Linked DNA regions of Coturnix japonica. The protein of the gene in region 1 purifies or fractionates together with the protein of each later gene. This does not show direct contact. Links are inferred from orthologs where the notes say so. Each region holds a gene or a part of one and is shown in the gene's direction. Other genes may lie near its edges.

The links.
Region 2: the proteins of WDR48 (region 1) and PHLPP2 purify together in Homo sapiens (affinity purification with mass spectrometry; 5 studies listed by BioGRID and IntAct, with this or other methods). This does not show direct contact. The link is inferred for Coturnix japonica from reciprocal best matches to the Homo sapiens genes WDR48 and PHLPP2.
Region 3: the proteins of WDR48 (region 1) and PPP1R9B purify together in Homo sapiens (affinity purification with mass spectrometry; 3 studies listed by BioGRID and IntAct, with this or other methods). This does not show direct contact. The link is inferred for Coturnix japonica from reciprocal best matches to the Homo sapiens genes WDR48 and PPP1R9B.

What each region holds. Positions count from the first base shown.
Region 1 is NC_029517.1:4,674,374-4,678,663, reverse strand, and holds the start of WDR48 (WD repeat-containing protein 48), read left to right. Parts: upstream 1-1,490; 5' UTR 1,491-1,556; coding exon 1,557-1,604; intron 1,605-4,290. UniProt on the Homo sapiens protein: Regulator of deubiquitinating complexes, which acts as a strong activator of USP1, USP12 and USP46. Enhances the USP1-mediated deubiquitination of FANCD2; USP1 being almost inactive by itself.
Region 2 is NC_029526.1:17,690,115-17,694,383, forward strand, and holds the start of PHLPP2 (PH domain leucine-rich repeat-containing protein phosphatase 2), read left to right. Parts: upstream 1-1,469; 5' UTR 1,470-1,546; coding exon 1,547-1,663; intron 1,664-2,022; coding exon 2,023-2,261; intron 2,262-4,269. UniProt on the Homo sapiens protein: Protein phosphatase involved in regulation of Akt and PKC signaling.
Region 3 is NC_029542.1:2,576,123-2,580,150, forward strand, and holds the start of PPP1R9B (neurabin-2), read left to right. Parts: upstream 1-1,228; 5' UTR 1,229-1,371; coding exon 1,372-2,658; intron 2,659-4,028. UniProt on the Homo sapiens protein: Seems to act as a scaffold protein in multiple signaling pathways. Modulates excitatory synaptic transmission and dendritic spine morphology. Binds to actin filaments (F-actin) and shows cross-linking activity. Binds along the sides of the F-actin.

The sequences.
Region 1 (4,290 bases):
GAAAAGCTAAAAGATTCAGTGCATCACATAGAAAACCTTATCTACCATATTTCTGTGTGTGTGTGTGCAGTTTGTCCACATGACTCCGTATCAGCCCAGCCTTGCTTCATGTCTGTGATGAATGAGAATGAATGACAAGCTGAAAGTGCAGCTCAGACACATAGAAACCAGCAACTTATAGCCTGTGCCAACATGATGCTTCTTGTGTTCCAGCAAAGACAACCTCTGATGGACTACACAATCTCTAGAGGTCTCTCCCAACTTCAAAGGTTCTACGAGCACCGTGCATGTTTTTGTTCTCCTTTCAGTAATGAGCTGTTGGTCAGAGGATTTAAGAAACACTGCATAGCAGGGACTATCCACATATAATCAGTTGACATGCAGAGAGGAAGAAACAGCGGAGGACCACATAGATGGTGAAGGGCCTGGAGCATCTCCCCTATGAAGAAAGGCTGAGTGAACTTGGTCTGTTTAGCCCTGAGAAAAGAAGACTGAGAGGGGACCAGATTCAGGTCTATAAATATCTGAGGTGTGGAGGGGGGAGTGGTGAAAAAAAAAGCTTTAATTTTATCTTAAAAAAAAAATGTAATGAGTTAAGCAATGCAACTTTGTGATACCTGTCCTAGATGCTTTAAATCATATGCTCTGCACTGTTGTAATAACAGAAAATAGTGAAAATATGGCTGCTAAGGAAGAGTTTTGGCCAAGGCAGATGTCTTTTAAGAACAATACCATCTGCTTGCAATTGCAGGGAAGACACTGCAGTCAGCAATGCTGGAAAACGCAATTCTTATCAAAATAAGCTTATATTAGCATTAATGAGTAGCCAGTGAGCATGGCTGCAATCAGCAGGAATGTGAATATGTGACTATATATTTTTTACTTATTTCTTTACCCATTTTTTGTCACTGTAAAAATGTTTCTCGCTAGGATTATTGATCTACTGTGCATTTCACCAATCACCTCGTCCAGTCACCATTACTGTTTTGAAGTAAATGAAATAATCAATACCAAAGCAAACCCCCCAAGGTAATATCCCTATGCACAGCCTTCTTTTCTCAAGGCTAAACAGACCCAGTTCCCTAAGTCTCTCCTCATAGGGGAGATGCTCCAGGCCCTTCACAATCTTAGTAGCCCTCCGCTGGACTCTTTCCAAGAGATCCCTGTCTTTTTTTGTACTGGGGAGCCCAGAACTGGACACAATATTCCAGATGAAGCCTCACCAGTACACTCATATAAAATGGCTTTCATCCAGAGGAAACCTGGACAGGCTTGAAAAATGGGCCCATGTAAACCTAATGAGGTTCAACGTGGCCAAGTGCAAGGTACTGTACTTGAATCGTGGCAACTCCAATACATAAAATGGCGAGCCGCCATTACTGGGGCTATTACTGAGAGGGAGCTCTGGCCCAGCCCCCTTGTCAGTTGCCTAGCAACGCCTCAATGAACGTCAGCCATCTTGTTTCTGCTTTATAAGGGCTTTGGGGGCTGAGAGTGGGGGTGGGACTTCCGGAACGTCACTCCTCGGAAGTGACATCACAGTGTCAACATGCAAGATGGCGGCGCATCACCGGCAGAACACGGCGGGGCGGCGGAAAGTGCAGGTGGGTGCACGGCGGGGTTCGGCTGTGAGGAGCAGCAGGGCTTTGGGGTGGGCTACATACGTGTAGGCCGCCCTCAGGAGGACGGTCGGGGATGGCTGGGCTATGGGAGGGGGGCGGTGGTTGCTGGGGAGGGGTCTCTGCGTTGCTCCGTGTGGGAGGCTCTGGAAACTACGAGGACTGGCTAAAGGAGAGAAGGGAAACGGCTTCATCGGCTTAAGGGAAACGATACTGAGCTACATTGAGCCACCCGCCCGGCTCCGGGCTGCTGTTCTGAATGCAAGGCCGCAGAACAGTCAGGCTGTGATAGTGAATGGTAAAAGTCAGGAAAATAGATGTATTGTGATGTTTTGGGATAGTATCAGCACCTTTAATAGCTTTACTCCTTTCCCATAGCAAAATGTATGTTTTATGTGTACCTCTGGTGGTAAGTGCAAGTTTCAGCTGTTTTTAACCATTATATTTATATATATACCGATTTAGCTTGCAATAGTCTCAGCATCCTTCCAAACAGAGATGGGTGCTGTGTCTTAAGGCACCTTTTCTATTCTGTCCCATAGAGGAAATGTTTATAGCTTATAGCAGTTCTTATAGTCAAAGAAGCACTTGGTCAGTGCTGCATAAAGAATTCCTGTGCCCTTTTGCATCGTCTGCACCGTATGCAAGTTCTTGAAGATTGGCCTCCCAAGGAAGGAGATTTTGTATTTATTTATTTGGTGATCTGTTGTCACTGTGTTACTTGATGCTTTTTGCTTCTCCTTATCCTGCTGTGATGATCCAGGCTTCAGCCAGTGTACACTAAGTGATCAACAGAGAATAACTTTGATTATATTATAAGCACATACAAAGTATTAAGTACAAAGTAGGTATTTTATTGTAGTCCTATTACTTCACTTACTTGGTTAAATTCAGGGTTTTGGCCAAATAATGGACTTCTCAGTGGCTCTTGCATCCATCAGCTGTTGGTAGAAAGTAAAAACCATTAACAGTTTATTTTGCTTCCTGATGGCTGAGCATTTAATATGTTTCTGCATCAATTAATAGAGATTTCTCCAAAATCTATAGTGCAAGGGGAAGACTCTGTAGAAGAATGCCCATCAGTTGTGGAGGATCCTGATTCTTTACAAGACATGGGAGCTGGTTAATATTTATGCAAGTTTGAGCTGTTGTTGTCTCTGTTGCACCTGTTTTACTGGTCAGTAGAACCATTCAAAACTGTGTAGGATGCTTCTGCATATAATTGTATATTGCATAAGGGTTTAATCAGGATAGGAGTTTCAGACCTTAAAGTGAATTCTGAGCATAAAGGTAAGAAGTATAATTAAACGTGAGGCACTCATGTGAATTGTGTCAGTGTTCCAATAGTAAGGTCCCCTTCACTAGGGGTGGAATGGAGATGTGTGGGTTTGGGAGTAGTAAACATCACTGTGTGATGGGAATCAGTTGGCTTTGTGCTACGGCTTTCAGATGTGGTACTGTGAATTAATTCAAGATGAGGCCATTTTTCAGCTGGTGTGCATTCTTCAACATGTTTTTGTTGGTATTACCTATATCTCTGGTGCTCTTAGTCACTGAAATGGCTAGTCCTGATCCGTTTAAGATACTAAGTCTCATAAATTCTTTATAATGAGGGTTTATCTCTGTAATATTCCCTATGAGGACAGGCTGAGGGAGTTGGGTTTGTTCAGCCTAGAGAAGAGAAGGTTGCGGGGTGACCTCATTGCAGCCTTTCAATACCTGAAGGGAACTTACACCCAGGAGGGGAGTAAACTCTTCGAAAGGGCTGATAATAGCAGGACTAGGGGAAATGGTTTTAAGTTAAAAGAGGGAAGATTTAGGTTGGATGTTAGGGGGAAGTTCTTCACTGGGAGAGTGGTTAGGCCCTGGAACAGGCTGCCCAGGGAGGTTGTGGATGCCCCGTCCTTGGAGGTGTTCAAGGCCAGGTTGGACGGGGCCCTGGGCAACCTGATCTAGTAAGTGTGTATGTTTGGTGGCCCTGCCAGGCAGGGGGGTTGGAACTACATGATACTTGAGGTCCCTTCCTACCTGGGTCATTCTGTGATTCTGTAATATTTAGACAGTGTTTACTGCAGTGAAGCGTTGCTATTTGTTACAGGAGTTTATAAATGCTACAACAACATTAATGTAAAAAGCATTGGTCATTATTAAAGTATCTTATAGCCCATCTTGCCCTTTCTGGACCATCAAATGGCAATATCACAACGTGGGGTCTGTCATCATCTTTGTGTTTGATGCTGGCTTTGTGAATAGATGCAGTGAGCCAAGGTGCAATGTGCTCTTGGTTGCCTTGTTTGAAATGTGATGAAATGTAACCTGTTGTATCTATTATTCAATGTGTTTGTGTACACATACTTGAATATATACTCTGTATTCATTGTATTGATACTATATTTCCTAATAGTTACTGTATTTCTGTACTGAGTATTGCTCCAATCTAAAACCAAATAACAATAATACTATGGAGTCCTCTCTGACTTCAGGATGTCATTAGGTTTGGGAGTGGGATTTAGAGAGTCCATCAAGAATGAACTGATAGCAGCATTTACCATTTGCTCTTCAGTCTATCAGAGACTTATTAACCCTGAAACAAGACACTTACTCTCATTTTCTCAGTTCTCTCAACATATAAACAATGCTTGTAAAGAGGTGAACAGCTTGCATTTAGTAT
Region 2 (4,269 bases), on another chromosome or scaffold:
CTTCTGCAAATCTATTTTTGACATGTGACAAATTGAAATGCTAAGTCTTGAGTGAGGGGCATAACTGATGTAAACACGTACATGGAATGCGTTAGACTTCTGCTGTGTGTATTGTCTTTTGGTTGAAACAAATTATGAAGTGACTAATAAAATGAGTCAATATTCCATGATTTAAAACTGCGCCTTGTTGCTTTGTGCAAGTACAATGGAACAGCCTTTGTCAGCTTTTGATGGGCCGTGCCAGAGTCAAGTGATATGAAATCATCAAGGGCGGAGTTTGAAAAGCTTTCAGGAAATTTTGGAGAGTGAAATGGACAGTTAAAAACCCTTAAAAAGGTCAGGTCAAATACTGCCCTGAACGAGCTGCTGCCAGCAGGACCAGGTGCTACGCAGGTATGATCTGAGCGGATGCTGTTTTCCCCCAGTGGCTGCAGGCGCAGTCGGTTGTGGTTCCCTTACTGACCTAAAATGTCTCTTTTGTGCTGTGTGTGCCACTGAGACGAGGATTGTTCCAGTCTCACCCATTAAAGCAACGTGTAGTTGCCTGCTGTAAGATTCCTGGGTTTTCTAGTCCCAGGAACAGTTCCTTAGACACCATGTTTTCCAATACAATCCCAGTTTTCCCCTGCACAGCACGGGCGTGTGCTGGGAACATGTGGAACCTTAATGCTAAGCCCGATTGTCAGTCAGCTCCTCGTTAAGGAGCAGAGCTCCCCACGGCCTCTGCCTGAGAATTCAGAGCCGTGTGTTGGTGCAGCGGTGCACGATGTGGCTGCGGGCAGGTGCTGCGGAGCAGGACGGGCCACAGAGGGACGTCCTGGTGCTGAGCCCGGTATCCCATCTTGGAACAGGTCCTGACTGCAGAGATGCTGTGCTGAGCTGCAACACGCTGAGATCAACCAGGAGCGAGGTGGGAAATTTCTGAAGGTTCTGTGGAATAGAAGTAAGTGCTTAACACAGAAATAATACCAGTGTGAGGGTTTGGAAAGCAGCTCATTTAGAAACGAGACCGGGAATTAGCAAGTAAGGAGCGGGCTGCGGCCACAGCGGCTGCGTGAAGTCCAGAACCGCTGCGGGGCGGGCACGAGGCTGCGGCTTTGAGGTGGCTGCGGTGCTGGTACCGACTGCCGACAGCGGCTCACGGAGCCCAGCGGGACAAGGCGCTGTTTGGAGCGGCCGCGTGCAGGAATGAAGGAAGCTCAGGGTCACAGCCCCGCAGTACGGGACGGCGCTTCCCTCCGCGCGGTGTCACCCCGCGTTACGCAGCCGCGCTGTGAGCGCTGCGCCGATGACAGCGGGTACGTAGGGGCTCGGGCGGCCTCGTGCCCGCGGTCCGTGCGGCGCTCAGCACCGACTAATAACTGCGCCGGGAGCGCGTCCATCCAGCGCTGCGCACGACTCCATCACTGCACCCGCTCCCCGTCCCGCTCCTCCCGCTGCTGCCGCTGCCGACACCGCGGGGCGGAAGTTTCGGCGCTTCCGGGGCGGGGCGCGCGGCGCCGTGGCGGCAGGAGCCGCTGCCGGAGGTTTGTGAGTGTGACCGGCCATGGGGGAGGCCGGGCCGGGGCACAAGGACGCGCCGGATCCCGAGGAGGATGAAGCGGCGGCGGTCGGAGCGCGGGGCGGCCGGGCCGGGCCTCGCGGCGTCGTCCGGGTGCTGAAGGTGAGGAGGAGCAGGAGGAGCAGGAGGTGGGGGGGGGCCCGGGTCGAGCGGGGCCGTTCCGGGCCGAGTCTCCGCGCCGGCCCTTCCCGGCAGCTCGGCGTGCGGGGCGGCCGCGTGCGCTGCGTCCGGGTGGTGCCCGGTGATGCCCGATGATCCCCGGTGATACCCGGTGATACCCGGTGGTGCCCGCCTCGACCTTGGCCGGGGCCGCTCCGTGCCGGCTCCGTGCCCGCCGGCTCTGGCCGTGCTCCCGCAGCCCCTCCACGCCCGGCCGTACCCGGGGCCCATCGCGCAGCTCGGCCGGGGCGGCGGGTGCCGCTGCAGGGCTGGCTGCTGACGCGCCGGTTTTGGCCTCGCAGAGAAACGTGAAGCGCAACGGGAGCAGGAGCTGCTTGAACAGGAGCCGGTTCAGCTCCCGCGAGCGGGACTGGCTGAGAGAGGATGTCGGCCGGGGCTGCGTGTACGTCTATGGAGGAGATTCTGCAGCTTCGTCTGACCTGCGCCTGGTGCTCTGTACGGTGGATACCCCGGCAGCTGAGATCTGTGACGGGGAAGAGAGGAAAAACCTCTTCGTGCAGCTCCACGGAGACCTGGTCAGGTGAGGGCCGGCGTTCACGCTGAGCGAGATTTGCTGTAGTTGTGTAGCGCTTTCTGCCTGCCTGCACGCATTAGTGTGCAGATGCAGAACAGAGAGAGGCAGTAGGTGTCAGCTGGATGCGGCCTTCAGTCACCTAATGAGAACAAAGTAGCGGTGAGCTGTTTGTACGTAGTCAAGGCGCAGCTGGGAGGGTTTGGTGGCTGCTCCAACTAGAAATACAGCCTCGCTTTGTAAGTAATTCTCCTTCGTTGTGTTGTTTTAGGGATGCTGTAGTCTTGAGAAAATGTGAACAGTTTGTGGGGCTGTCAGCAGTTATTCCGAGTCCACGCGGCCTCTGAAGTACTTTGACAGTTATGTCACAGTATTTTTGTATTGGTAATTTTTTGGTGAATTTCTGAGGTAAATAATTAAAGTTAAGCATGGGGTGCAGTAGATGTTAGAGGGCGTGGGCGCTGTGTCACAGGTTTTATGTCTGCAGTCAATTAAGGCTGGAAACAAACCTCAGCTCAGAGTTTGAGGTTCATGGACTTTATGCTGAGTGTATTATGGGCTCCTCTAGCTTTACGTGCTCTCATTAGGTCGTTGTAGTGATGCTTCAGGATTTCACATTTGATTATGAAGTTGTGGCTCCAGTTCCTAGGAAAAAGGGCATCGCTGTGGTCTTTTTTTTCAGAAGCATGAGCTGAATAGCAGTAATAGCTTTTTAATAGTGAAATGTAAGTCTTAAATTTAATGTGTCTCAAGTTTAAAAGGGTATAGCATAGGTTCAATTGGGTTGAAGGCAGGAGCACTAATGGCGAGAGATATGAAGAACAGGACGGGGAAAGGAGGCCTGCAAAAGAACTGGCGAGGGACGGAGAGAGTATTGATGGGACACTGGGTAATGGCTTCAAACTAGAAGAAGGCAGCTTTAGGTTGCAGAGAAGGAATTCTCTACTCAGAGGGTGGTGAAGCGTTGCCACGTGCTGCCTGGAGAAGCTGTGGATGCTGTCACATCCCTGGAGGTGTTCGAGGCCGTGGATGGGGCCCTGAGCAACCTGAGATATGGTGGAAGGCAGGAAGATTTGAACTGGGTGATCGTTAAGGTAGTATCATCATTCATTTGTGGCAGTCTTTGCAGAGTTAGCAGATTTGCCCTGCTGCCCATGTTCTGGAATGAGTACCAAGCTGTAAACATTTACTTTATGTGCTTTGAAAGCGGAGGGTTTGGACTCGATGATCTCTTGAGGTCTCTTCCAATCTTTGCAATTCTGTGATTTACTCCTTCAATTCATTGCCTCCTGCTCTTAATCAAGAGCATAAAATTCTGTTGAATTTTATGGAGAGCTCTTGATCCTTGTGCATCTGTTGCCTTTGTAATTCTTGGGGTGTCTTTGCCACAGAAGAGATTCCTGAATCACCACTGAGGATGTTCTCAGTAGAACCATTTAGGTTAGAAAAGACCTTTAAGATCATCAGGTCCAGTCATCCACCTAACACTGTAAGTGCATTGTTAAACTACATTCCTAATCACCATATCCACATTTGTTTCTTAGATACCTGCAGAGATGGTATCTCCACCACCTCCCTGGGCAGCCTGTTCTGATGTCTATCCGTGGTATTGCTTCAGATCCATCTCTGTTAGGAACAGGAAGCAATCGCAAACAGTGCCTGCTTCCGTATCCACAGGAAGGTGACAGAATGCTCAAGACATCCCTACGCCCTCTTGAGATAATCATTTCATTGAAAAAAAGTTTACTGACTGCTTTAATAATGTGTTTGTGACTACAAATTACTCAGTGAAGCATCCGATTGTATCTTACCCTTGATATGTTTGTTTCTCAAACGAATTCCCCACCCTTCTAAATACCAGTAGGTGGTTTTCTTTCTAAACCTGAGCATGGCAAAAGTTGATCCGGTACCTGACTCAGAAGACTGAACACAGTGGGACACTGGAGCAGGTTGCCCAGAGATGTTGTGGATGCCCCTCCCTGGGAGCGCTCAAAGCCGGGCTGGATGGGGCTGTGAG
Region 3 (4,028 bases), on another chromosome or scaffold:
CAGCGGAAGGGGAAGGGGGGGCAGGGGGGGCTGTCGCTCTGCTCTGCGTCACGCCACGTCACGCACAAAGGGCTGTCGGGTGCTGCAGCCGCTGCTGGGTCCTGCTGCCCGTATCTGCACTGTGTGGGGGGCTGTGGTTGATGGGGAGGGGGGGGAGGAAGGGATGGTGCCCCCATATTGGAAACCAGGGTGTATAATGTGTGGTTGTTTTGGTCATTGAAGAGCCCTAAAGTGGTGCTGTGCTGTGTGCTCTGGTCCCTGTGGGGTCTGTATGCTCTGGGAGGGGAGTGGGACCCCAATAACACCCCTAAAATATACCCCCCCCCCCCTCCAGGTTGACCTCCTGGTCAAGGTGTGGGTGGGTGGGTTGGCAGTGGGGAGGGGAGAGGGGTGGGTTGATGGGGACAGAAAGTCAATGGGGATCCTATGGGGGCATCATAGAAACAGGGGCTGGGGGAGTTCTGGCTACGTGGGGGATCAAAGGGATCAGAGCAAGGAATGTGTGGGCAAATATGGGGGGGGGCGGGCAGAGGCTAAAAGGTGGAGAGGGGGGACATGGGGACACAGGGACGGGAGGGGGGCATGGGGGTAAGAATGGGGGATATGGGTTATACACAGGGAGGATATGGATGGGGCACAGGGAACAAACACTGGAGGACTAAGGGATGGGGGGGGGGTGGTCATGGGGATACGGGGGTGTATAAAGGTGGGGGGCAACTGGCCAGAAGTGGGGGGACCCAGGGACCATCGTGGGGCTGTGGGATGGAAGTGAGGATGCAGAGGGGCAGGGCTGGGGGTCCCAAGGGCTGTCATAGGGGACAGAGGGGGAGCAAACCCGGGGTGGGGGGGGCTATGGGGAGGGGGGATAGATATGGGGACAGAGCTGGGCTGTAGGGACAATGCACAGTGCCAGGGAAGGGGGGGAAACGCGGCCCCAACCATGTGCAGGGGATGGAGGGGGGCTGAGGGGAGGGGGCGGCGGTGGCAGCAGCGTTCTGTGGGTGGGTGGGGGGACACACATAGAGCTGGGGGGGGCATCATCCAGCAGAGCCCGAAGCTTTAGCGGTGAGGAAGAGGAAGAGCAAGAGAGCGTCGCTAAGACCCAGAGGGCTCTGCGGGCAGCGGGGCGGGCGGATCGCGGGCGGCAGCGCTCATCAGCAGCGCAGAGAGAGAAAGGGGAAGAGGAGGAGGAGAAAGGAGGAAGGAAGGAAGGAGGGCCGGGGTGGAGGATAGGGGGGGGGGGGCGCGCTGGGCCCCCCCAGGCTGACGATGGCCTGACCGGGTCCCCGCAGCCCCCCAGCACGGCCCCCTCCCCGTGCCCAGCGGGCGGCGGGCGATGCGGCTCGGCGGTGACGGAGGTTTCGGGGCAGGATGCTGAGGACGGAGGCAGCGAGCGGGGCCGCAGCCCCGGGGGGCAGCGGGGGGACCCCGGGCGGCGGGGCGGGCAGCGGGGGGTTGAGGAGCGCATCCCCGCACCGCAACGCGTACGAGGCGACCATCCAGGCCCTGAAACCCACAAAGGATGCCGAGGGTGAGGACGGCAAGAAAGCCCGCAGCAAGAAGTATGGCTCCAACGTCCATCGCATCAAGAACATGTTCCTGCAGATGGGGACGGCGCCGGGCCCCGAGGGAGCGTGCGACTTGGCCAAGGGCAAGGAGAAGCCGGTCCGACTGTCCCTGCCCCGCACCGGCAGCCTGAGCGATGGCATGGAGCAGGGCAGCACCCTAAAGCTGGGCACCAGCGTGTCCGAGAGGGTGAGTCGCTTCGACTCCAAGCCCGACAAACCCTTCTCCAAGCTGCAGGAGACAAGGAAGATCTTCGAGAGGAGCCCGCAGGAGAAGGAGACCACCACCAAACTGCTGCTGCGCAAAGAACGCGCCGGCTTCCAGGACCGTAAGCTGGACGTGGTGGTGAAGTTCAATGGCAGCACTGAGTCTTTGGATAAGCTGGACACCGAGGCCGTGTCGCCCACTGTCAGCCAGCTGAGCGCTGTGTTTGAGAAGGCTGACCTGAGGAACAACCTGCATAAGACCCCGGGGCGCACGGGGCCGCTCAACTCCAAGCTGGTGAGCAAAAGGTCCCGCGTCTTCTTGCAAGGAGATGGTGGCAAAGCTGATGGCGGTGCAGAAGGAAGCGCTGGGACCACACGGCCACGACCTGCAGAGGAGGAGAAAGTGATGGGCAAAGCCCCGAGGTCGGGGGAGAAGGATGGGAGCGTCCCGCGGGTGCAGGAGGTCTGCAAGATCAAACCCGTGGAGGTGGAGGAGAGTGGAGAGTCGGAGGCGGAGGTGGAGGTGAAGGAGCCCACGGCTGTAAGTGAAGTGGCCAAAGGGGCCGAAGGGCTGGTGGCCCCCGAACCGTGCCTGGATGGGGGCGAGGAGCCCCCCGACACCAAGGAGGGAGGAAAGGGTGAGAGGGTGGAGGAGAGCGAGCTGTATGATGAGTCCAAGAAGGAGGACTTCTCCGAGGCGGACCTGGTGGACATAAGTGCCTACAGTGGGCTCGGGGAGGACTCGGGGGGCAGCGGGTTGGATGAGGATGAGGAGGCGGATGGGCTGTATGAGCCTGAATCCAGCTGCATGGAGATCCCTGGGCTGTCCGAGGAAGAGGAGCCCGTCCCCAACCGCAAGATCCAGTTCAGCACGGCGCCCATCCAGGTGAGTCCCGCCGGGGTGCTTTGGGGGGCCCAAAGAAGGGAGAAGAGGGGAGGTTTGGGGGTCCTCAATCATCCAGCGATGGGGTTGGAAGACATAGAGGTGGGCAACCTCCTGCCCCATTGGCCATGGCCCAAGCTTGGGCAGCCTCCATGCAGCGCTGATGGCACAGAGTGGAGAAGGGCAGAGCGTCTGCAATGTGCCATTGTACCCCAATAGTGAGCACCCACTGCTGGGGACACATGGCCACGTGGGGAGGGGAAAGGGACACGGTATGGGGTGGAGACCTTGGGGCTGTGAGCTGTTGTGTTGGTGACACGTGGAGGATGGGGATGGCACACACTGCCAACCCAGTGCCCCAAAACCACACGTTTTGGGGGTGGAAGCCCATAATATTCATCCAGGCCTCATTTGCTGCCAGGTTCCACCAGCCCAGCCCTGGTCCCCATGTGCTGTCAGTGCTGGGACTCCCTCCGGAGCAGGGAAGGTTGATGCCCACCCCGCTGTGCTCAGCATGGGGACCATTTCAGGAAGTGGAGGAAGGGGAAGTGCCTCATGGCAGCAGCAGGAGCTGCTCATCCCCCTCCTTGTCCCCATATGGGGACAGCTGTGGGATTTGGGGTCCCCCCACCCATTGCCAGCCATGGCACGGAGGGCGATGAGGCCATGCCGTTAATTCAGGGCTTTCTCTGATGCTCGTATCCCCCCGGCTGGAGGAACAGAAATTGCTTTGTGCCTCGCTGGGTTATTTATAGCAGCACGGCCTATATTCTGGCTCTGAGTCAGCGGCGGGTGGGTGGCCCCACCTGGGATGGGACACGGGCACCGCGGTGGCACCGCGTGGGGATGGGGTCCCATGGTGGCCATACACTGCTGGGGGTTCTACACTGCATGGATCAGCCATGCCAGCCCTGAGAAGGAACCCCCCCCCCCTTCGTGGAGCTGTGGATGTGCTTGGAGGGATGCTCTGCTCCCCTGATGTTTGTCCCCTGCTCTGCCCCTCTGTTGGGGGGGACCCCCTGTCACAGTGCATGTCAGCATCGTGAGCCCCCAGAATGGGCACATAGGGACACCCCAGCACCCATAGAGAGCACCCATAGAGAGAACCCATAGAGAGCACCCTGCTGTGCCCAGGGATGGGGGTCCCTGCTGCCAGCCCCCTCCCTGGACAAATCTGCTCCCTCCTGCTGTGTCTCCTTTGGGAGCTGCTCTGGGTCCCCTGCAAGTCTCCAACACCCCAAAGACTTGGGGACAGCACTGAGGGGCACAGTGGGACAAGCTGGGCCATGCCTGGACCCCTCTGGGTACCCTGTGCAGATGGGGGGCAGGTGTCCAGCTTGTCCCTAGGGGTGCCACACGGGTGGGTCCTGCCT